Linked DNA regions of Anolis sagrei. Each later gene encodes a partner of the first gene's protein in a complex. Links are inferred from orthologs where the notes say so. Each region holds a gene or a part of one and is shown in the gene's direction. Other genes may lie near its edges.

Region 1 (7,976 bases):
GCATGGCAGAAGGTGGGTTGGACTGGATGACCCCTGGTGTTGCTCCTATTATTATTATTATTATTATTATTATTATTATGACACAGGCTGGGTGATCATGTTTTGGGGATACTTTGATGGTGCTTCTTCTGCATGGCAGAAGGTGGTTGGACTGGATAGTCCCTGGTGTTGCTCCTATTATTATTATTATTATTATTATTACACAGGCTGGGTGGCCATCTTTTGGGGGTGCTTTGATTGTGCTTCTTCTGCATGGCAGAAGGTGGGTTGGACTGGATGACCCCTGGGGTTGCTCCTATTATTATTATTATTATTATTATTATTATTATTATTATGACACAGGCTGGGTGGCCATCTTTTGGGGGTGCTTTGATTGTGCTTCTTCTGCATGGCAGAAGGGGGGTTGGACTGGATGACCCTTGGTGTTGCTCCTATTATTATTAATATTAGAGATACATAACAAGATTAGTACACGGCGAACAAGATCACTGTGCTGGCTTTTGTATTTGATCCCACATCGAACACTTCCCAAGTTTCTAGGGCTGTGTGATGTATCGGTGAATAATGCATGCAGATCCCAGTAGGGTGGCCTTTTGCAGCTGGCAGATGGCAATTTTGTCAGCGCCGATTGTGTTTAAGTGTAGGCCAAGGTCTTGAGGCGCTGTGCCCAGTGTGCAGATCACCACTGGAACCACCTTGACTGGCTTGTGCTAGAGTTTTGCAGTTTGATCTTTAAATCCTCATATCGTGTCAGCTTTTCCAGCTGCTTCTCGTCAATCCAGCTGTCGCCTGGGATTATTATTATTAAGGTTGGAAGACCCCTGGGGTTGTTCCTATTAGTATTAGTATTATTTGCGTGGCTATCTTTTGGGGGTGCTTTGATTGTGCTTCTTCTGCATGGCAGAAGGCGGTTGGATTGGATGGTCCTTGGGGTTGCTCCTATTATTATTGTTGTTGTTATTGTTGTTGTTATTATTACACAGGCTGGGTGGCCATCTTTTGGGGGTGCTTTGATTGTGCTTCTTCTGCATGGCAGAAGGTGGTTGGACTGGATGGTCCCTGGGGTTGCTCCTATTATTGTTGTTGTTGTTATTGTTATTATTATTATTACACAGGCTGGATGGCCATCTTTTGGGGGTGCTTTGATTGTGCTTCTTTTGCATGGCAGAAGGCGGTTGGACTGGATGGTCCCTGGGGTTGCTCCTATTATTATTGTTGTTGTTGTTGTTATTGTTATTGTTATTATTACACAGGCTGGGTGGCCATCTTTTGGGGGTGCTTTGATTGTGCTTCTTCTGCATGGCAGAAGGTGGTTGTACTGGATGGTCCCTGGGGTTGCTCCTATTATTATTATTATTATTATTATTATTATTATTATTATGACACAGGCTGGGTGATCATGTTTTGGGGATACTTTGATGGTGCTTCTTTTGCATGGCAGAAGGTGGTTGGACTGGATAGTCCCTGGTGTTGCTCCTATTATTATTATTATTATTATTATTATTATTATTACACAGGCTGGGTGGCCATCTTTTGGGGGTGCTTTGATTGTGCTTCTTCTGCGTGGCAGAAGGGGGTTGGTCTGGATGACCCTTGGTGTTGCTCCTATTATTATTAATATTAGAGATACATAACAAGATTAGTACATGGCGAACAAGATCACTGTGCTGGCTTTTGTATTTGATCCCACGTCGAACACTTCCCAAGTTTCTAGGGCTGTGTGATGTATCGGTGAATAATGCATGCAGATCCCAGAAGGGTGGCCTTTTGCAGCTGGCAGATGGCAATTTTGTCAGCGTCGATTGTGTTTAAGTGTAGGCCAAGGTCTTGCGGCGCTGTGCCCAGTGTGCCGATCACCACTGGAACCACCTTGACTGGCTTGTGCTAGAGTTTTGCAGTTTGATCTTTAAATCCTCATATCGTGTCAGCTTTTCCAGCTGCTTCTCGTCAATCCAGCTGTCGCCTGGGATTATTATTATTAAGGTTGGAAGACCCCTGGGGTTGTTCCTATTAGTATTAGTATTATTTGCGTGGCTATCTTTTGGGGGTGCTTTGATTGTGCTTCTTCTGCATGGCAGAAGGCGGTTGGATTGGATGGTCCTTGGGGTTGCTCCTATTATTGTTGTTGTTGTTATTGTTGTTGTTATTATTACACAGGCTGGGTGGCCATCTTTTGGGGGTGCTTTGATTGTGCTTCTTCTGCATGGCAGAAGGGGGTTGGACTGGATGGTCCCTGGGGTTGCTCCTATTATTATTATTGTTGTTGTTGTTATTGTTATTATTACACAGGCTGGGTGGCCATCTTTTGGGGGTGCTTTGATTGTGCTTCTTCTGCATGGCAGAAGGGGGTTGTACTGGATGGTCCCTGGGGTTGCTCCTATTATTGTTGTTGTTGTTGTTGTTGTTGTTGTTGTTATTATTATTACACAGGCTGGGTGGCCATCTTTTGGGGGTGCTTTGATTGTGCTTCTTCTGCATGGCAGAAGGTGGTTGGACTGGATGGTCCCTGGGGTTGCTCCTATTATTATTATTATTATTATTATTATTGTTGTTGTTATTATTATTATTACACAGGCTGGGTGGCCATCTTTTGGGGGTGCTTAGATTGTGCTTCTTTTGCATGGCAGAGGGGGGTTGGACTGGATGGCCCTTGGGGGTCCCCTCCAACTCTTATGATTCTATGAAGTCTCCAAACTTTGGCCCTCCCTCCAGGTGTTTTGGACTCCGACTCCCACAATTCCTAACAGCCGGTAGGCTCTTAGGAATTGTGGGAGTTGGAGTCCAATACACCTGGAGGAGGGCCAAAGTTTGCCAATGCCTGATCTGCACTGTAGAATTAATGCCGTTTGAACCCACTTTAACTGCCAAGGCTCAGTGCTGCTATGGAGTTGTGGGAGTTATAGTTTGGTGAGGCTTCAGCATCTTGGGCAGAGAAGGCCCCAATAAATAATAATAATAATAATAATAATAATAATAATAATAATAATATTAAAAAGCCTTGTCAAATCCCATAGCATTGAGTTGTCTAATAGCATCAATGAAACTGGCGTCAACTCCATTCATTCAACAGTGTCTTCCTTTCTTGGGGTGGTTTGTTTGTTTGTCGTGTCAGAGCAAGCAGTCCATTACATTACATTTCTAACAGAACAAAGCAAACAGACATAATACAAAACTTGTGAGTTTGGTAGTTGGTTAAATGTCCTTTGACCAGTCTCTGTCCCCTTGGAGTGCCTCTGGTGTTGCCGCAAGAAGATCCTCCGTTGTGCATGTGGCAGGGCTCAGGGTGCATTGCAGCAGGTGGTCAGTGGTTTGCTCCTCTCCGCACTTGCATGTCGAGGATTCCACTTTGTGGCCCCATTTCTGAAGGTGGGCTCTGCATCTCGTGGTGCCAGAGCGCAGTCTGTTCAGCGCCTTCCATGTCACCCCGTCTTCTTCTGTGTGCCCAGGGGGGAGTCTCTCATTTGGTATCAGCCATTGGTTGAGGTTCTGGGTTTGAGCCTGCCACTTTTGGACTCTTGCTTGCTGTGGTATTCCAATGAGTGTCTCTGTAGATCTTAAAAAACTATTTCTAGATTTGTTGTTGACGTGCTGGCTGATACCCAAACAGGGGATGAACTGGAGATGTCTCTGCCTTGGTCCTTTCACTATTGGCTGCTCCTTCCCGGCGAATGTCAGGTGGTGCAATACCGGCTAAGCAGTGTAATTTCTCCCGTGGTGTAGGGCGCAGACACCCCATGATAATGCGGCATGTCTCATGAAGAACCACATCCACTGTTTGAGCGTGGTGAGATGTGTTCCACACTGGGCATGCGTACTCAGCAGCAGAGTAGCATCGCGCCAGGGCAGATGTCTTCACTGTGTCTGGTTGTGACCCCCAGGTTGTGCCAGTCAGCTTTCGTATGATATTGTTTCTAGCACCCACTTGTTGCTTGATGTTCAGGCAGTGCTTCTTGTAGGTCAGAGCACGGCCCAGAGTGACTCCCGGGTATTTGGGTGCGCTGCAAGGCTCCCGTGGGATTCCTTCCCAGGTAATCATCCTCAGAGCTCAGGATGTTTGCCCATGCCCGATTTGCACTGTAGAATTAATGCAGTTTGAGCCCACTTTAACTGCCAAGGCTCAGTGCTGCTATGGAGTTGTGGGAGTTATAGTTTGATGAAGCCTCAGCATCTTAGGCAGAGAAGGCCCAAGATAATAATAATAATAATAATAATAATAATAATAATATAAATAAAAAGAAATAATAATAATAATAATAATAATAATAATAATAATAAAGATTTGTCAAACCCCATAGCATTGAGTTGTGCCAATCAATGAAACTGGCATCAACTCCATTCATTCAACAGTGTCTTCCTTTCTTGGGGTGGTGAAAACAAACAAACCCGGAAACATTGCCTTAAACAAACATGGCGGATTCGCAGTTTCCTCCTTCAGAAACATGGGGGAGATGGCAAAGGGGCAGACCATGCCAGGTTTAAAAATGGCGGATAGCCTTAAACAAATATGGCGGATTCGCAGTTTCCTCCTTCGGAAACATGGGGGAGATGGCAAAGGGGCGGACCGTGCCAGGTTCAAAAATGGCGGAGGCCCTGCCGCGCATGCGCACTCCGCGATCTGCACCGTGGCTGTGTGCCGGAGAGAGAGACCTCGAGGGAAGCGGCGCCATTGGAAACGGAGAAAGAAGCCTCGCTCCGTCTCGGGTGGGTCCGGGGAGAAAGTGGGGCGTGCCTGCCTCTGTGGGGAGCGGGCCTAAAAGCCGTGGGAGCCTGGCTTTGCATTTCAGAGGCCTGGAGGCGGTGTGCGGCCTTGCGAGGTGTTTTGGACTTCATCTCCCAGAATTCCTATTCATTGGACGGAGTGGCTGAGGCTTCTGGGAGTTGGAGTCAAAGCGAAAAACATGGCGGCTCAGTGAGTATTTGATACTGGTGGGCCAGCAGAAGGCTGGAGAACATTATGAAGAGGCCCAGGGGCATTGTGTATGGCCAGTCATTAATATAACATAATATAATCTACTAGACGTCCCCTGCCACGCGTTGCTGTGGCCCACATGGGGGTTCATGTGTGGGAGGTTTGGCCCAATTCCATCGTTGGTGGGGTTCAGAATGCTCTGTGATTGTAGGTGAACTATAAATCCCAGCAAGTACAACTCCCAAATGTCAAGATTCTATTTTCCCCAAACTCCACCAGTGTTCACATTTGGGCATATTATTTATTATTTATTTATTTATTTCTTGCATTTATTGACCGCCACTCTCAGCCCTAGGGCGACTCGTGGCGGTGAACAATAACATGGAAAAGACAGTTTACAATAAATCAAACAGTACACAACAATCTACTACTACATAACATATACTTATACTAAAAATCCGCTTCGTCATATCATGGGGACATATCAGTTTCATAGTCGTGATCCATTCCGGTCATCATTTCCAATGAATAGCACTCAATTGAAAGCCCTCTCAAAGAGCCATGTTTTCAGGCTCCTACGGAAGGCCATAAGGGAGGGCGCCTGTCTAACTTCAGCAGGGAGAGCGTTCCACAGCCGGGGGGCCACCACCGAAAAGGCCCGCTCTCTCGTCCCCGCCAGACGTGCCTGTGAGGCAGGTGGGACCAAGAGAAGGGCCTCCCCGGATGATCTCAAGGTCCTCGTGGGCTCGTAGGCCGAGATGCGGTCTGCAAGGTATTTTGGGCCGGAACCGTTTAGGGCTTTGTAGGATAACACCAGCACCTTAAATTGGGCCCGGTAGCAAATCGGCAGCCAGTGGAGCTGGGACAGCAGGGGCGTTGTATGCTCCCTGCGCCCGGCTCCTGTTAGCAACATGGCTGCCGCGCGCTGGACTAGCTGGAGCTTCCGGGCCGTCTTCAAGGGCAGCCCCACGTAGAGAGCGTTGCAGTAGTCGAGGCGGGATGTGACCAAAGCGTGTACCACCGTGGCCAAGTCAGACTTCCCAAGATACGGGCGCAGCTGGCGCACAAGCCTAAGCTGTGCAAATGCTCCCCTGGTCACCGCTGAAACCTGGGGATCCAGGCTCAGCGACGAATCCAGGGTCACACCCAAGCTGCGAACCTGCGCCTTCAAGGGGAGTGCGACCCCGTCCAGCACAGGCTGTAACCCTATACCCTGCTCGGCCTTGCGACTGACCAGGAGTACCTCTGTCTTGTCTGGATTTAATTTCAGTTTGTTCGCCCTCATCCAGACCATTACAGCGGCCAGGCACCGGTTCAGGACTTCGACGGCCTCCTTAGTAGCAGGTGGAAAGGAGTGACAGAGTTGGACGTCATCTGCGTACAGATGACACCGCACCCCGAAACTCCGGATGATCTCACCCAGCGGCTTCATGTAGATGTTAAACAGCATGGGGGACAGGATGGAGCCCTGAGGAACCCCACAGGTCAACGGCTGTGGTGTTGAACAGGAGTCCCCCAATAACACCTTCTGGGTGCGACCCTCCAGAAATGACTGGAGCCACTGCAAAGCAGTGCCCCCAAGACCCATCTCTGCAAGGCGCCCCAGAAGAATACCGTGGTCGACGGTATCGAAGGCCGCTGAGAGGTCCAGGAGCACCAACAGGGACACACTCCCCCTGTCTAGCTCCCGGCGCAGATCATCCACTAAGGCGACCAAGACCGTCTCGGTACCATGTCCCGGTCTGAAACCAGACTGTGCCGGATCCAGATAATCCGTGTCTCTCAAGAATACCTGGAGTTGTGAGGCCACCACGCTTTCCATGACTTTGCCCAAGAAGGGAAGATTGGAAACAGGCCGAAAGTTGTCAAATTTAGTGGGATCCAATGATGGTTTCTTCAACAGCGGCTTTATAACAGCCTGTTTTAGGCTCGCTGGAATCTTGCCTTCCCGAAGGGAGGCATTAACCACCACCGTTACCCACTCGGCCAATCCCCCTCTGGCCTCCTTCAGAAGCCAGGATGGGCAGGGGTCTAGGATGGACGTGGTGGGTCTCATTCCTCCAAGTATCTTGTCCACATCCTCGGGCTTCACAAACTGAAAAGAATCCAACAAAATAGGACAAGCAGGTGCTTGTGTCACATCCACAGAGACTGCATTTAATGTGGCGTCCAGCCCAGAGCGGATCAAAGCGACTTTGTCTGCAAAGAACCGAGCAAATGCTTCACAGCGCGTGGCCGAATTGTCAGGGCTCCCACCTGAGGTAGGGGGAGTTAAAAGACCTCTGACAATCCGAAACAACTCCGCCGGACGGTTTTTTGCAGACGCAATAGTAGCCGCAAAGAAAGTTTTCTTTGCGGCCTTTATTGCCGCGGCATATGCCCTTAGAAAGGACACAAACCGTGTTCGATTTGGCTCGCTTGGGTCTGAGCGCCACACGCTCTCTAGTACCCTCTTCCTTCGCTTCATCGCTGCCAGCTCCTCAGTGAACCAAGGAGCTGGTTTAGCTCGGTTACTCGAGAGAGGACGTTCCGGAGCGATCCTGTCAATTGCCCTGGTCATCTCCCCATTCCAGAGAGCGACCAAGGCCTCGACATGGTCACCTACCGAGGTGGCGGGAAAATCCCCAAGAGCCGTCAGGAATCCATTCGGATCCATAAGCCTCCTGGGGCGGACCATCTTAATGGGTCCTCCACCCTTGCGGAGGTTAGGGGGCGCAGTGAGCCTAAATCTGATCAGGAAGTGGTCGGTCCATGGCAACGGAGAGATGGACAACTCCTCCACACCGCCACCCTGCTCCCATCCCTGGCAGAAGACCAAGTCCAATGTGTGTCCAGCACAGTGGGTGGGGCCAGTTATTCGTTGGGACAGCCCCATGGTTGCCATGGCGGACATGAAGTCCTGAGCCGCTCCTGTGAGGGTTGCCTCGGCATGGATATACTCGGCATATTGAGTATTCGTGTAGAGTTTGGTCCAGATTCATCATTGTTTGAGTCCACAGTGCTCTCTGGATGTAGGTGAACTACAACTCCAAAACCAAAGGACACTGCCCACCAAACAATTCCAGTA
Region 2 (7,557 bases), on another chromosome or scaffold:
CGGATTTTTTTTTTAATGTTTTACCATCGTTGTGGGAGGCTTCTCTCATATCCCCGCATGGAGAGCTGGAGCTGACAGAGGGAGCTCATCCATGCTGTCCTCAAAACTACTATATTTGTGTCCAGGCTTCTCTCATTTCCCTGCATGGAGAGCTAGAGCTGACAGAGGGAGCTCGTCCACGCTCTCCCCAAATTCGGATCTCTGACCTGTCAGTCTTCAGTCCTGCCAACACAAGGGTTTAACCCATTGTGCCACCGGGGGCTCCTTGCAGTACAATAATACCAATAATCCTCAAAACGGCTACCTTTGTGTCCAGGCTTCTCTCATGTACCTGCGTGGAGAGCTGGAGCTGACAGAGGGAGCTCATCCGCTCTCCCCAGATTTGAACTTGCGACCTGTCGGTCTTCAGTCCTGCTGACACAAGGGTTTAACCCACTGGTTCTCAACCTGTGGGTCCCCAGATGTTTTGCCCTTCAACTCCCAGAAATCCTCACAGCTGGTAAACTTGCTGCGATTTCTGGGAATGGTAGGCCAAAACACCTGGGGACCCACAGGTTGAGAACCACTGGTTTAACCTATTACGCCACCGGGGGCTCCTTGAAGTACAATAATACTAATAATCCTCAAAATGACTATATTTGTGTCCAGGCTTCTCTCATGTCCCTGTATGGAGAGCTGGAGCTGACAGAGGGAGCTCATCCACGCTCTCCCCAGATTCAAACCTGCAACCTGTCAGTCTTCAGTCCTGCCAGCACAAGGGTTTAACCCATTGCACCACTGGGAGCTCCTTCACTATGAAAACACCTCCCCAAGTGCTACTGGGTTACTGATTGAAAGAGCATGTGTTGAGGGGACTTCCTGGTGGGAGGGGCTTAGCATAGCCTTGGTCTTCTATGGGGGGAGCGCTGGCCAAAGCCCACAGAGCTACGCTTGACCCAAAGCAACATTCTTAGCAGTCATAGAATTGGGGCTTCCTTCTCAGCTTGGCTTTCTGCGACCACCCTAACCCTCTACAACAACTTGGGATTCTGTATAAAAGTGTAAACAAGCAGTTACTACTCAAGCTTTATTACAAATCCAACAGATGATGCTTAATCCCTTGCACCCACCCTCTGGCCAGCACTGGTCAGGAAGGCTCCCAGCCCCGTTCAGGGAGAGGGACCTGGCCCTGCCCTCCAAACGGAGAAAGGCAGGCAGGCAGGTGCCTCTGGTCCCCTGGTTAGTACCTGGGCTTCAGGGGCTCATGGGAAGCCTCCCCTCGGATGCTCCTATAGTTCCCAAGAGGGCCTCTTTCCCTTCAAGGCCATGCAGAGGCTTGCCTGGGGACTCACTTCCGGATCTTTTTCACAAAGGTGACTTCATCCCGGTTGCGGATGCCATACCTGGGGAAAACGTTGTGCACATTAGGACTCCTCCTCTCCCAGGGACTCAGGCCCTCAGAAAGGCCCACAAAGAGGGTGGCAAGGCAAAGGGGGTGAAGGACTGCAGCCAGAAGCCTCGGGCACCTCCTTCCTCAGCACGTAGCACACCTGCCCCCCACCTGGCTGAGCCTGGTCCCACTGCAAGCAGGCCAGAGTATGGGCATGGGATCCACAAGGGGTACCAGGGCACCACAGACTCACTCTCTCAGCTTCTTCCGGTCGTCTGTCAGCTTCTCTCCACCGAAGGTCAGGCAGTAGGTGCGCCACAGGTATTTCCTGTCAGGTAGGGAGGAGAGGCTTAAGGACAAGGAGGAGGGGTGGAGCTGGCTCTGCCTGACCTTGCCCCCTCCCCTCTCCTGCCCCACGGAAGCAGGACCCACCAGCTGATGTGCTGGATGCCCCCCTCACGCTCCTGCCGCAGCTGCACAAACCGCCGGAGGGCCCTCTTCAGGTCCAGGATGCTGGCATTCTGCACCACCACCACCGCTGAAAGGAGAGAGGGAGTATTTAGTATTTATTTATTTCAAACACTTGTACCCCGCCCTTCTCAACCCCCGTAGGAGGACTCAGGGCGGCTTATAGCCAGCACAATTAGATGCCCCAACAAACGAGAATACATACAGTAATTACATATGAATGATACAGTGTGTAAAGTAAGTAAAACTGATAAGTGAGTAAAACTTTATTTCTATCCCACCCTATCTCCCCAAGGGGACTCAGGGCGGCTCACAACAAACAAGGCAGTTCAATGCCATAAAAAATACAACAAATTCAAGAAGACAATACAACACATTCAACAATCATACAAATCAAAACAGAAGCAATAATAATAATAATAATAATAATAATAATATAAATGCTCTGTGCATAATGAGTACCTTAAAAACAAAACAATCAATGAACGAAATCCACCAAATTTGGCAACAAAACATCTCACAACACAAGGAGTGACCGTCACTCAAAAATTATGATTTTGTCATTTGGGAGTTGTATTTGCTGGGATTTATAGTTCACCTACAATCAAAGAACATTCTGAACTTCATCAACGATGGAATTGAACCAAACTTGGCACACAGAATTCCCGTGACCAACAGAAAATACTGGAAGGGTTTGGTGGGCATTGACCTTGAGTTTGGGAGTTGTAGTTCACCTACATCCAGAGATCACTGTGGACCCAAACAATGATGGATCTGGACCAAACTTGGAACAAATATTCAGTATGCCCAAATGTGAACACTGGTGGAGTTTGGGGAAAATAGACCTTGACATTTGGGAGTTGTAGTCACTGGGATTCACAGTTCACCTATAATCAAAGAGCATTCGGAACCCCACAAATGACAGAATCGGGCCAAACTTCCCATACAGAACCCCCATGACCAACAGAAAATACTTAAGGCCATCCAAGGCCATTTTCCAGATCAACAGACTGGGCCACAGCAACGAGTGGCAGGGGACAGCTAGTAATATATATATATATATGCCAGCAATGACTTGAGGAACTGCAAGTCGCTTCTGGTGTGAGAGAATAGGCCGTCTACAAGGACGTTGCCCAAATGTTTTATCATCTTGTGGGAAGGTTCTTTCATGTCCCTGCATGGGAAGCTGGAGCTGACAGACGGGAGCTCACACCACTCCCTGGATTCGATCCACCGACCTTTCGGTCAGCAATCCTGCTAGCACAAGGGTTTAACCCAGAGGTCCTCAAACTTTTTAAATCTTAGGGCCAGGTCAAAGTCCCTCAAACTGTTGGCGGGCCGGATTATAATTTCATAGAATCATAGAATCAAAGAGTTGGAAGAGACCTCATGGGCCATCCGGTCCAACCCCCTGCCAAGAAGCAGGAATATTGCATTCAAAGCACCCCTGACAGATGGCCATCCAGCCTCTGTTTAAAAGCTTCCAAGAAGGAGCCTCCACCACACTCCGGGGCAGAGAGTTCCACTCAAGAACATGAATGAATTCCTACGCACAATGAACATATCTTATTTGTAGTGCAAAAAACACTTAAAAACAATACAGTAATTAAAATGAAGAACAATTTTAACAAATGTAATCTTATTCGTATTAAAATTTATTTTTATTTACAGTATTTATATACTGCCTTTCTCACCCAGCCCTGGGGGGACTTCAATGGGAAGTGTGGGCCTGCTTTTGGCTGATGAGATAGGATTGCTGTTGTTATTGTGTGCTTTCAACACGTTTCAGACTGAGGTTGACCCTGAGCGAGAGCCAGGTAAATAACCTTGGAGGGCCGTATCTGGCTCCCTGGCGTTAGTCTGAGGACCCCTGGTTTAACCCATTGCACTGCCGACAGCTCTAATAACAAGTTAAAACAATATCAATAAAACAAGGGCTCAGGGTCGGGAGAAAAAACTCTTGTCTGTTTCAGGCAGTAAGCAGCCAGACCTTGAAACTGCACGGCCATTAAATGCTAATCAAGGTGGCCAATTGCAACCTTCCCACCTGCCTGAAACAGACAAGAGTTTTTTCTCCCACCCTGGGCATTATTCCACAGATATATAATCCCCATTTTCCTAGTTTTCCAACAGACCTCCCCACCTCTGAGGATGCTTGCCATAGATGTGGGCGAAACGTCAGGAGAAATTGTACTATACCATTATATTGTAATAATATTAGTAATATTACATATAAAATATATTAAATATATAATAATAACAGTAGTAGTATGTTATAGGAGGGAAGGAGGAGAGAGCAGGAGAGGCGCCTCACTATTTGGGCCACTAGGCCCCGCCCACAGAGGGCCTCACCATTTGGGCCATTAGACCCCGCCCACGCCTCTGAGGCCCCGCCCACGCCTCTAGGCCCCGCCCACAGAGGGCATTACTATTTGGGCCATTAGACCCCGCCCACGCCACTGAGGCCCCGGACACACATCTAGACCCCCGCCCACAGAGGGCTTCACTATTTGGGCCACTAGACCCCGCCCACGCCTCTAGGCCCCGCCCACGCCTCTAGGCCCCGCCCACAGAGGGCGTCACTATTTGGTCCACTAGGCCTCGCCCACACCCCTGAGGCCCCGTCCACGCCTCTAGGCCCCGCCCACAGAGGGCATTACTATTTGGGCCATTAGACCCCGCCCACGCCTCTGAGGCCCTGCCCACGCCCCTAGGCCCCGCCCACAGAGGGGCCCCACTATTTGGGCGATTAGACCCCGCCCACGCCTCTGAGGCCCCGCCCACGCCTCTGAGCCCCGCCCACAGAGGCGCCTCACTATTTGGGCCACTAGGCCCCGCCCACGCCTCTCCTGGCACTTACGCATTGGTGCCTCGGGGGCGTCGGCTCTGCGCACGCGCACTGTCATGGCTTGCCCGTACTCCAGCGCCACTTGCGAGCTGATCTCCTCGGGGGTCACCTGGGAGATAGGGAGAGAGGGAGCGGGTGAATGACAGGCCCATGTCCCGCCCTTCATCGTATGCCCCGCCCCTTTATTATCAGGCTCCGCCCCTTCTATGTTGCCCACAAACAATGCCCCGCCCCCTTCTCTGTAGGCCACGCCTCCCGCCCAGTGCCCAGCCCACCTGAACTGGGAGGTCACAGAGCAGCGGGTCCTGGACCAGTCGGGCGAGTCCTTCCTGCCAGAGCTCCAGCACGTCCGCGTGTGCTTCCTCCTCCTCCTCTTCCTCCTCCATCACGCTTCCGGTTTGTGAGGGGAGAGCGGAAACGGAAGGTGAGGAGAGAGGATGCTGCTGTTCTGCCCGGCCTGCGGGAACGTCCTGGTGGCCGAAGAGGGGCCGCGCTGCCACCGCTTCGCCTGCACTACGTGCCCCTACGTCCGCAACGTCACGCGCAAGGCACGTCAAGGGGCGGGGCCGCTCCCTCTCTCCTTCCCTCCCTCCTCCTCCTCGGCCTTCGCTCACCTTTCCCCCCCTCTTTCCGTTGCTAGGTAACAAGCCGGCGCTACCCGAAGCTGAAGGAAGTGGACGACGTGCTGGGCGGGGCCGCGGCCTGGGAGAACGTGGACTCCACGGCAGGTGCGTCACCGAAAGGGGCGGGGCCTGGGAGAGCGAGGGGGCGGGGCTAGGGTTAGCAAGTTTAGTAGCTCAGTGGTTTAACCCACTGTGCCACCATTGGCTCCATTAATAATGATAATAATAAGGATAAGATATTAATGATTGAAGAGGAACAACTGGAAAAGCTGACACAATATGATTTAAAGATTAAACTCTGGTACAAGCAAATCCAGGTGGTCTCAGTGATCGGCACACTGGGTGCAGTGCCTAAGACCTTGGCCTGCACTTAAACACAATCGGTGCTGACAAAATTACTATCTGCCAGCTGTAAAAAAGCCACCCTACCTCTGAGGATGCTTGCCATAGATGCAGGTGAAACATCAGGAGAAAATGCTTCTAGAAAATGGACATATAGCCCAAAAAAACCTACAACAACCCAATTAATAATAATAATAGAACTGCAAAGACTCTGGCACAAACCAGTCAAGGTGGTCCCAATGGTGATCGGCACACTGGGTGCAGTGCTTAAAGACCTTGGCCTGTACTTAAACACAATTGGGCTGACAAAATTACCATCTGCCAGCTGCAAAAGGCCACCCTACTTGGATCTGCACGCATTATTCGCTGATACATCACACAGTCCTGGACACTTGGGAAGTGTCGACGTGTGATCCAATAAAACAGCCAGCAGAGTATTTGCTGTGGACTCATCTTATTGTATTTCTAATAATAATAATAATAATATAATTTTATATTTACAATAATTCCTTCCTTGCCCCACAGAGCCCTGTCCCAAGTGTGAGCACCCGCGCGCCTTCTTCATGCAGCTCCAGACGCGCTCTGCCGACGAACCCATGACAACCTTCTACAAGTGCTGCAGTCCCCAATGTGGGCACCGATGGCGGGACTGAGGGCGCAGGGTTCAGGTGGGGCCAGGGCCTCCAACCCTTCCTACCTCTAAGCCAGTGGTTCCTAACCTGTGTTCCGTGGACCACCAGTGGTTCGCAAGAACTAAAATATGTTCCACGGCCTCACTGTTACTGCAACATTGCAATGAGAGCTAATGGTCGTGAAACCCTCTTATAGTGCCGATACTTATTAAATATGGTTTTCTGTGAGCAAGCAGATGGCGACTACTGGATGGCATACGTTCTGTATCAGAAATTAGAGCTGATGTGGTCTATCCAATGCAATTATCTGAATCAGCACCCCAAATAAACAAACCGAACCTAATGTTGACCAAAAACTGATTCGTAACCCTTTTGGTACTAATGTTGGAGAGTGGTCCCTAGTCAAAGTGGTCCCTAGTCAAATAAAGTTTGGGAACTATTGCTCCGGGCTGAGGAATTTGGGGCTTTGAGGGCCTGAGGCTGGGATGGGGGCTGCAGCATGCTCAACACAGGAAATAATAATAATAACAACAATAATCTTTATTTATACACTATGGGTGTATTGTTGTTGTGTTCGGGCATTGAATATTTGCCTTTTATGTTTGGAATCTGCCCTGAGTCCCTCTGGGGAGATAGGGCAGAATATAAACAAAATATTGTGTCAGTATCATCTTTATTTATATAAAGACACCACATCTGGAAGACTATCATCCTCGAGCTATGAGGGATGGCCTAAGTATTTATATTCCACCCTATCTCCCTGAAGGGACTTAGGGTGAATTCCAAACATAAAAAGCAAATATTCACCAGGTATTGACACTTGATGCCACAGCAACATTATAGGAGAAGGGACTCTGTAAAAGAGACACTCTTGCTTTATTTACAAAATAGGAGGTGGCTTCCAAGGGATCAGGGCCCCCCAGCCGAGCCCCATTTGTTCCAGTTGGTCTCGTAGGGGAATACTCTCCCCATCTTGAGGGCAGCTTCCAGGCAGGGTTCATAAAAGGGGGCCTCTTCCTCCTCTTCGCTCAGCCTGCGGGGAGCCCATGGGGGATTCTCCTCCTCTGGGGCAGGGGCCGAGAAGAGGGAGACCGGCCGCTGGGGGGCCAGGCAGCGCCTCCGGATGCAGCCCAGTGACTCCAGTCCCTGCAGAGAGAGGGAGGGAGGGGGAGAAAGCCATTTTGGGGGTCTTGAATAGAATAGGAATAACTTTATTGTCATTGTACATCGTACAATAAAATTAAATGCCACCCCAATGCTCATTATATATGTAGA
Region 3 (8,393 bases), on another chromosome or scaffold:
GTAAATAACAATAATAATAATAATAATAATAATAATAAATAACTTGGTAAAGTAAAGCTATGTAAGAAAATAATAATAATAATAATTTGGTAAAGAAGAGGTGGGTAAATAATAATAATTAATAATAATCATAACTCGTTGGAGAGGAGGTATGTAAGAAAACAACAACAACAACAACAACTTGGTAGAGGAGGTGTGTAAATAATAATATTAATACTACTAATAATAATGTGGTAGAGAAGTGGTGGAATAATAATAATAATAATAATAATAATAATAATAACAACTTGGTAAAGAAGAGGTGTGTAAGATAATAATGTTAAATTGGTAGAAAAGAGGTCTGTAATATTTTTTTTTCGTGTCAGGAGCAACCTGAAAAATTGCAAGTCGCTTCTGGTGTGAGAGAATTGGCCATCTGCAAGGATGTTGCCCAGGGGACGCCCAGATGTTTTGATGTTTGACCATCCTTGTGGGAGGCTTCTCTCATGTCCTTGCACGGAGCTGGAGCTGACAGAGAGAGCTCATCTGCACTCTCCACAGATTCGAACCTGTGACCTATAGGTCTTCAGTCCAACCAGCATAAGGGTTTAACCCACTGCACCATCGGGGGCTCCTGTAATAATAATAATAATAATAATAATAATAATAATAAAAATAATGTTAAGTTGGTAGAGGTGTGTATGAAAATGATGATGATAATAATAGTAGTAACAATAAAGATAATAATTTGGTAGAGGAGAGATGGGTTAATAATAATAAATAATAATTTGCAAAGGATGATAGTAATTATTATTATTTGGTAGAGAAGTGTGATAATATAACAATAATAACAGCAATAATAACATAGAGAAGAGGTGGGTAAGAAAATAATAACAACTTAGTAGAGAAAAGGTTAATAATAATAATAATAATAATAATAATGTGGTAGAGAAGAGGTGGATAAGAAAATAATAATAATAATAATAATAATAATAATAATCATCATCATCATTATCATCCGGTAGAGAAGAGATGTGTAAGAAATTAATAATAATAATAATAATAATAATAATAATAACTTGGTAAAGAAGAGGTGTGAAAGAAAATAATAATAATGTGATAGAGAAGTGGGTAAATAATAATAATAATAGATGCTGATGATAGTAAGAAGAGGAAGAAGACAGCGAGGAGGAGGAAGAAGTGCAGTTTAGAAATCTGGAAGGGGAAAAGCAGGTTATTATTATTAATATTATAAATAATAATAATAATAATAATAATGGCAGCCCAGGAATCTGGAGGTCCACGTGATGGCCACCCATTTTCTCGTGTCTTCAGCAACCTCTTTCTATGGATAAGCCCTTTGTGTGATACGTGTTATTCTTACATTGACGTATAGAAAAACGGTTGCCCCGCTCAATGGGGGGAAAGCAACAAAAAGGGAGCCAATAAAGGAAAGGGTCCAGTCTGCATTTCCTGCGTGAATGGCAGGGTCAGCGCCCTCGTTTCCAAAGCAAGGATGACAAGGGAGCCAAAAAGACAAAGCCACCCATGAGGCCGCTGGGCATTGTGTTTCCTGAATGAGCCAGAAAGAAAGGAAGGAAGGGATGAAAAGAGAGGAAGAAAAAAGGGGCTTCTCTCCAGCCCTCCATCTATCTATCTATCCATCCATCCATCCGCTGAGTTGGCACACTTTCCCCAGGCATGAATGGGGGCCCCCCTGCATGCGTGTGCGCTTTCCAATTCTGTCCCTTGCACGCACGCACAACACGGAAAGACTTTGGAGCCATCAGCAAATACTCCTACTAATAAAAAGGTAAAGGTCAAGGTTTTCCCCTTGACATGAAGTCCAGCCATGTCCGACTCTCGGAGTTGGTGCTCATCTCCATTTCTAAGCCAAAGAGCCGGCATTGTCCATAGACACCTCCAAGGTCATGCGGCTGGCATGACTGCATGGAGCACTGTTACCTTCCTGCTGAAGAGGTACTCACATTTGCATGTTTTTAAACTGCTAGGTTAGCAGAAGCTGGGGCTCATAGCGGAGCTCACCCCAATCCCCGGATTTGAACCGCCATCCTTTTATTCAACAAGATCAGCAGCTCAGCGATTTAACCCGCTGCACCACTGGGGCTCCTATTAATACTACTACTAATAATAATGGCACTATCTTTCATGAGAAAGAGAGAGGTGGAAAAGGGCACAAAGGTGTGTAAGAAGGAAGGAAGGAGAGAGAGAGAAGGAAAGAAGGAATGAAAAGAAGGAAGGAAGGAAGGAAAGAAAGAAAGGAGGGAAGAAAGAAGAGAAGGAAGGAAAGAAGGAAGGAGAGAAGGAAGGAAAGAAGGAGGGAAGGAAGGAGAGAAGGAAGAAAGGAGAGAGAGAAGGAAGGAAAGAAAGAAGGAGAGAAGGAAGAAAGGAGGGAGAGAAGGAAGGAAAGAAAGAAGGAAAGACAAAAGGAGGGAAGGAAGGAATAAGGATGGAGAGAAGGAAGGAAGGAGAGAAAGAAGAAAAGAGGGAGACTAGGAAGGAAGGAAGGAAGGAAGGAAGGAAGGAAGGAGAGAAGAAAGGAAAGAAGGAGGGAAGGAAGGAGAGAAGGAAGAAAGAAGGGAGAGAAGGAAGGATGGAAAGAAAGAAAGACAGAAGGAAGGAAGGAAGGAAGGAAGGAAGGAAAAATTAAGGATGGAGAGAAGGAAGGAAGGAGAGAAAGAAGAAAGAAGGGAGAGAAGGAAGGAAGGAAAAAAGGAGGGAGGGAAGGAAGGAAGGAAGGAAGAAGGAAGGAAGGAGTGAAGGAAAGAAAAAAGAAGGAAGGAAGAAGGAAGGAAGGAAGGAAGAAAAGAAGAAAGGAGAGGAAGGAAGAAAGGAGGGAGAGAAGGAAGGAAGGAAGGAAGGAAGGAAGGAAGGAAGGAAGGAAGGAAGGAAGGAAGGAGAGGCTCCTTTCCCTAAAGCCGGAAATACACATGATATGATATGGTATAATAAGATACGATAAAGGAGCCCCCAGTGGCACAGTGAGTTAAACCGCTGAGCTGTTGAACTTGCTGAGTGAAAGGTTGGTGGTTCGAATCCAGAGAGTGGAGTGAGGTCCTGCTGTTAGCCCAGCTTCTGCCAACCTAGCAGTTCGAAAACATACAAATGTGAGTAGATCAATAGTACTGCTTCAGCGGGAAGGTAAGGGTGCTCCATGTAGTTATGTCAGCCACTTGGCCTTGGAGGTGTCTACGGATAACTCTGGCTCTTCGGCTTGGAAATGGAGATGAGTACCAGCCTCCAAAGTTGGACACAACTGGACTTAATGTCAGGGGAAAACCTTTACCTTGTACTAAGATATGATATACCTATGAATTGGACCTCCGTCACAGATGCTGAAAGGCCTGGACCATCTAAAAGGGAAGAATAGCAGGCCTCCTCCTCCTCCATGGGCGCTCAAAAGCCTTAATAATATAAAAGGAAATAAGAGGTGTTTGTTAATGCCCTTAGACCACAGTTCATTTGCATACAAAACAAGTCAACACAACACAACACAATTGGCATCTAGATCTGGCCTAGTAACCTTCAATGGCATGAAAGGTGGGAGAGATGCCAATGTTTTGCACTGATTCGCTGCCAAAAAGGGCTGCTGCCAAGTCCGACCTCTTCCATGGACGCTAAAAGGAAATCATAGGAGAGTTCTTAAATGTTCTTAAAGGCCATAGAAGTCAATGCAAGGCAGCAGGCTCTCCCTTCATTCAAAGTATCTATAGGGTTAAGTAGATGGAGTAATAATAATAATAATAATAGTCTCTTAATTAACTGCCCCCCATGGGAATTGGTAGATATGCAATAATAATAATAATAATAATAATAATAATAATAATCTTTCAATCAACTGGCCCCCATGGGAATTGGTAGATATGACACAATAATAATAATAATAATAATAATAATAATAATAATAATAGTCTTTCAATTAACTGGCCCCCATGGAAACTGGTAGATATGCCATGATAATAATAATAATAATAATAATACTGTTTGGATCGTCGATGTTGCAATTCCAGGCGATAGCAGGATTGAAGAGAAAAAAAATGAGGATTTAAAGATCGATCTGCAAAGACTCTGGCCGAAGCCAGTCAAGGTGGTCCCAGTGGTGATTGGCACACTGGGTGCAGTGCCTCAAGACCTTGGCCTGCACTTAAACACAATCCGCGCTGACAAAATTATCATCTGCCAGCTGCAGAAGGCCTTTGAGGGGAATTTACCTTGATTTGAGGGAGTTGTAGTTCACCTATATCCAGGGAGCACTGTGAACCCAATGATGGATCTGGACCAAACTTGGCATGCATACCTGATATGCCCAAATTTGAATATTGGTGAGTTTTGAGGGGAATTCGTCTGTGTACTTTGGAGTTATAGATCCTGGGATTTATAGTTCACCTGCAATCAAGGAGTACTCTGAACTCCACCAATGACGGAATTTGACCATACTTGGCAAACAAAGCCCCCATGACCAGCAAAAAAAAACACTGGAGGCTTTGGAGGGATATTCACCTTGATTTGAGGGAGTTGTAGTTCACCTACATCCAGAGAGCACTAATGGATCTGGGCCAAACTTGGCACACAGACCTGATAGGCCGAAATTTAATGGCTGGAGGGGTTTGGGGGGAACTGACCTTCCTTTCTGCGGATTGGTAGATGCTATAAGAAGAAGAAGAATATATAATAATAATAATAGATTGTGAAGTGGGGCTTCTGATAGAAGTATCACAGCCCTAGACTCCAGTGGCTATTCTCCCGCCAAAAGTCTTGCAAGTGAAAGGCATTCTGGGAGTTGTAGTCCTTGAAGAAAGCGCCCTCCCTTCAGCCGGCCGTCTTCCCTCGCAAGGGCCACGCCTTCCCGCCTTCATCTCCCGGCGTCCTTAGCGCCTCGCTTTCTGCCTCATGCTTGAAGCCCCGCCCCCTTTCCTACCCTGCTTGTCTCCGCCCCCTTTCTCCTCTGTCTCGAAGCTCCACCCCTTTCCCAGTCTCCGCCCCTTTCCTCTCAGTCTCCTCCTCTTCCGGCCTGAAGTCCCGCCTTTTCCCTAATTCTCCTCCTGGGAAGCGAGATGGAAGTGTAAGTTGGAGGGAGGGAAGGAGGGGAAATGGCAGGAAAGCCAGGCCCAGGAGGCGAACCCGAGGGAATCTGAATTATTAATATGTATGTTTTGTTGCTTATAGAATTATTCATATTAAGCTATAGAGAGGAAATAGGATATATTAAGCCATAGAGAGGAGATGATGCTTCTACTATATATACATTTATATGTTCTATTTATATATGTATAACAGATTAAAATACAGAAATGTATATATTAATATATAATACATTATATATACTATACACATGTTAATATATATAGAGAGGTATATTACTTATATGCTTATATAGAATTCATATATATATATATATCACATTATATTAATATAATACTAAAATAATGTATGCAATATTATTTATATATGTATAACATTAAAATAAAGTAATGTATATATATATATAATACATAATATATACTACACACATATAAATGTATATAGAGAGGTATATTACTTAAATGCTTATATAGAATTCATGTATATACATATCACATTATATTAATATAATACTAAATATATGCAATATATGCTTTAATATATATTATATTAATCTGTATTAGAGAGGGATATTGCTTATATATGCATACATATCACATAATATATGCAATTATGTGATATCTATATATATAAGACATACATTATTTTAATATTAATATATAAAAATAATGTATCATATATATATATATACTTTAATGTATAGAGGGGATATTGATTAGATGCATATATATACACACACACACACACACACATACACATCACTTAATATATATTTATAATATATTAATATACATATATTAAAATAATGTATGTATAATATATATTGTTTAATGTACAGAGAGGGCTATTAATTAGATGCTTATATACATATATATTAATATAACAAAATAAAGTAATGTATGTATAATATATGTACTAACATTTATACATACATGTCACATATATATTAAAATTATATATATATATATATATATACACACATACATACATATACTGTATAGAGAGGGAGGGATAATGCTTATATGTCATATTATATATATACTATATTAATATATTAAAATGTATGTATTATATATATATATATACACTTTAATATATAGAGAGGGATATTGATGAGATGTTTACATACATATATGTACATATATATACACATACATATCACTTAATATATTAATATATAAGATAAAGCAATGTATGTATAATATATATATATATATATAAATTTTATATTATTAATTGTAATATCAATAATATGTAGGTTTTGTTGGTTCTTTTGCCGACCAAAAAGCCAACCACACACACACAGACATATATATCTATCTCCCCATAGGATTCCTCTTCATTCGAGCTTCCCAAGACTCCCAAAGAATTAAATATACAGTATAACATATATGGAGCAAAGCCACTGCTACGGCTGACGTGTCTTTGGGGTCAGCACAAAAAACGAAAACTCCCTTCTCAGCATATTTCCGGAAGGGGAGCCCCTCTTTTTTTTTGAATCCCCCCGATTTGTTTTTTTTAAAAAACAAAACACCAAAACAATGCGCCCAACCTGTGGAAGTTTGTGGAAGAGGCGGCGTGGAACTTGCCCCGAAAGTGATGAGCGCAGCGGGTTCGATTCAGAACTAAATCAAATACATTGTGCTTTTAGGTACGTGCGGGGCCCCCCGAGAAGCGCTTTTTGTGGCCGCCGCACTGTTGTTGTTTCTGCGCTCTTTGCTGGCTCAGCAGAAAAAAGGCCTTTGTCTCTGGGATGTATGGATGGATGGAGGGGGCCCTTCCGCACGGCCCTTCGGTGTTTTTGTTAATAGATAGATAGATAGATAGATAGATAGATAGATATGAACAAGATTCAGTTATGAACAAGATTCAGTCGGTTTGTTATTAAGGTGATCCATCATCTGTTAACTATCTATCTGTATCAATCCTCTCTCAACTATTTACCTTCTGTTAACTATCTATCTATCACCTGTCCGTCAATCATCTGCCAACTATATGTATCATCTGGTTTATTAATCATCTGCCAATTATTTATCTGTCTATCTTTCTATTATCTATCATCTGTCCATCAATCATCTACCAATTATCTATCTATGTATCTATCATCTGCCAACTATTTATCTATCATCTATCTATCATATGTCTATCAATCACCTGTCAACTATCTATCTATTAGTGTTTGTCTTCTCTCAACTCATTTTTCTATCTGTATTAATCATCTGTCAATCATCGAGCTATACAGATAAATCATCTCATATATCATCTATATCAATAATCTCTCAACTATCTTATCATCTGTCAACTATCATCTATTTATCAATGATTTGCCAACTATTATCTGTCTGTTTATCAATCATCTGTCAACAGTTTATCAACTATCAATTATCTGTCATCTATCTATCTATCTATCTGTTATCTATCAATCATCTATCGATTATCTGTCATCTATCTTTCATCTGCCTATCAATCTCCTGTCAACTATATTTCTGTTATGTTTCTATAACCTATCAATTATCTGTCAACTATCTATCTATCCATCTATTTATTATCTATCAATCATCTGTCAACAATCTGTCCTCTATCTTTCATCTGTCTATCAATCTCCTGTCAACGATCTTTCTGTTATGTTTCTATCATCTATCGATCATCTGTCAACTATCTTATCTTTCTATCTATAATTCTATTATCTTTAATCATCTGTCAACTATCTGTCATCTATCTTTCATCTGTCAGCTATCTTTGTTATGTTTCTATCTATTATCTATCAATCATCTGTCAACTATCTGTCAACTATCAATTATTTGCCAACTATCTATCATCTATCAATCATTTGTCTATCAATCACTTGTCAACTGTCTATCATCTATCTATCTTTTCATTTGTCTGGATTTTCCCAGCGTTCCTCTGGACACACATTATCTGACTTCAGCAAAATCTGGCTCGAAATGAGGAAGCTGCCCTTTAAGAAAATATCTCCTTTGGGCTTTGAAAACAGTCTGTCTTCTTGAGCCAGGATCGCCTGCATAAAGGCCTAATCCTGCCTGTTTGTTTTGTTGTGCAGGAAAGACGGAAATGCAGCCCTTCTGAGCAACTATGAGGTAAAACCATTTGTGGCATAATTAATTGGACTTCTGATGCCTTGTGTTTCATCTCTGCTCTGTGTATTTTCATATGCATTTTATCAAAGTACATTTCTATATGTGCATTTATAAGTTTTTACTATGTTTATGTGTTTTGATTATGCCGTAACCTGCCTTGAGCCAGGTTGCCCAAAGGCCCTCTCATAGAATGGCCATTTTGGAGCGTTTCGG

Evidence for each region. Proteins that work in one complex are often made in the same cells at the same time.
Region 2: POLR3D (region 1) and POLR3K share a complex: the UniProt entries of both Homo sapiens proteins name them as parts of the RNA polymerase III complex. The link is inferred for Anolis sagrei from reciprocal best matches to the Homo sapiens genes POLR3D and POLR3K.
Region 3: POLR3D (region 1) and CRCP share a complex: the UniProt entries of both Homo sapiens proteins name them as parts of the RNA polymerase III complex. The link is inferred for Anolis sagrei from reciprocal best matches to the Homo sapiens genes POLR3D and CRCP.

What each region holds. Positions count from the first base shown.
Region 1 is NC_090027.1:1,456,229-1,464,204, reverse strand, and holds the start of POLR3D (DNA-directed RNA polymerase III subunit RPC4), read left to right. Parts: upstream 1-4,589; 5' UTR 4,590-4,701; intron 4,702-4,746; exon of another isoform or gene 4,747-4,986; intron 4,987-7,976. UniProt on the Homo sapiens protein: DNA-dependent RNA polymerase catalyzes the transcription of DNA into RNA using the four ribonucleoside triphosphates as substrates.
Region 2 is NC_090035.1:14,607,166-14,614,722, reverse strand, and holds POLR3K (DNA-directed RNA polymerase III subunit RPC10), read left to right. Parts: upstream 1-5,122; coding exon 5,123-5,233; intron 5,234-5,325; coding exon 5,326-5,413; intron 5,414-6,175; coding exon 6,176-6,303; 3' UTR 6,304-6,625; downstream 6,626-7,557. Other genes in the region: SNRNP25 (U11/U12 small nuclear ribonucleoprotein 25 kDa protein), read right to left, coding at 1,328-1,382, 1,623-1,697, 1,802-1,907, 4,698-4,794, 4,961-5,071; general transcription factor 3C polypeptide 1, read right to left, coding at 7,192-7,428. UniProt on the Homo sapiens protein: Core component of RNA polymerase III (Pol III) which synthesizes small non-coding RNAs using the four ribonucleoside triphosphates as substrates. Can mediate Pol I proofreading of the nascent RNA transcript.
Region 3 is NC_090031.1:27,643,743-27,652,135, reverse strand, and holds the start of CRCP (DNA-directed RNA polymerase III subunit RPC9), read left to right. Parts: upstream 1-4,961; 5' UTR 4,962-5,054; coding exon 5,055-5,062; intron 5,063-5,068; exon of another isoform or gene 5,069-5,144; coding exon of another isoform or gene 5,145-5,146; intron 5,147-8,143; coding exon 8,144-8,180; intron 8,181-8,393. UniProt on the Homo sapiens protein: DNA-dependent RNA polymerase catalyzes the transcription of DNA into RNA using the four ribonucleoside triphosphates as substrates.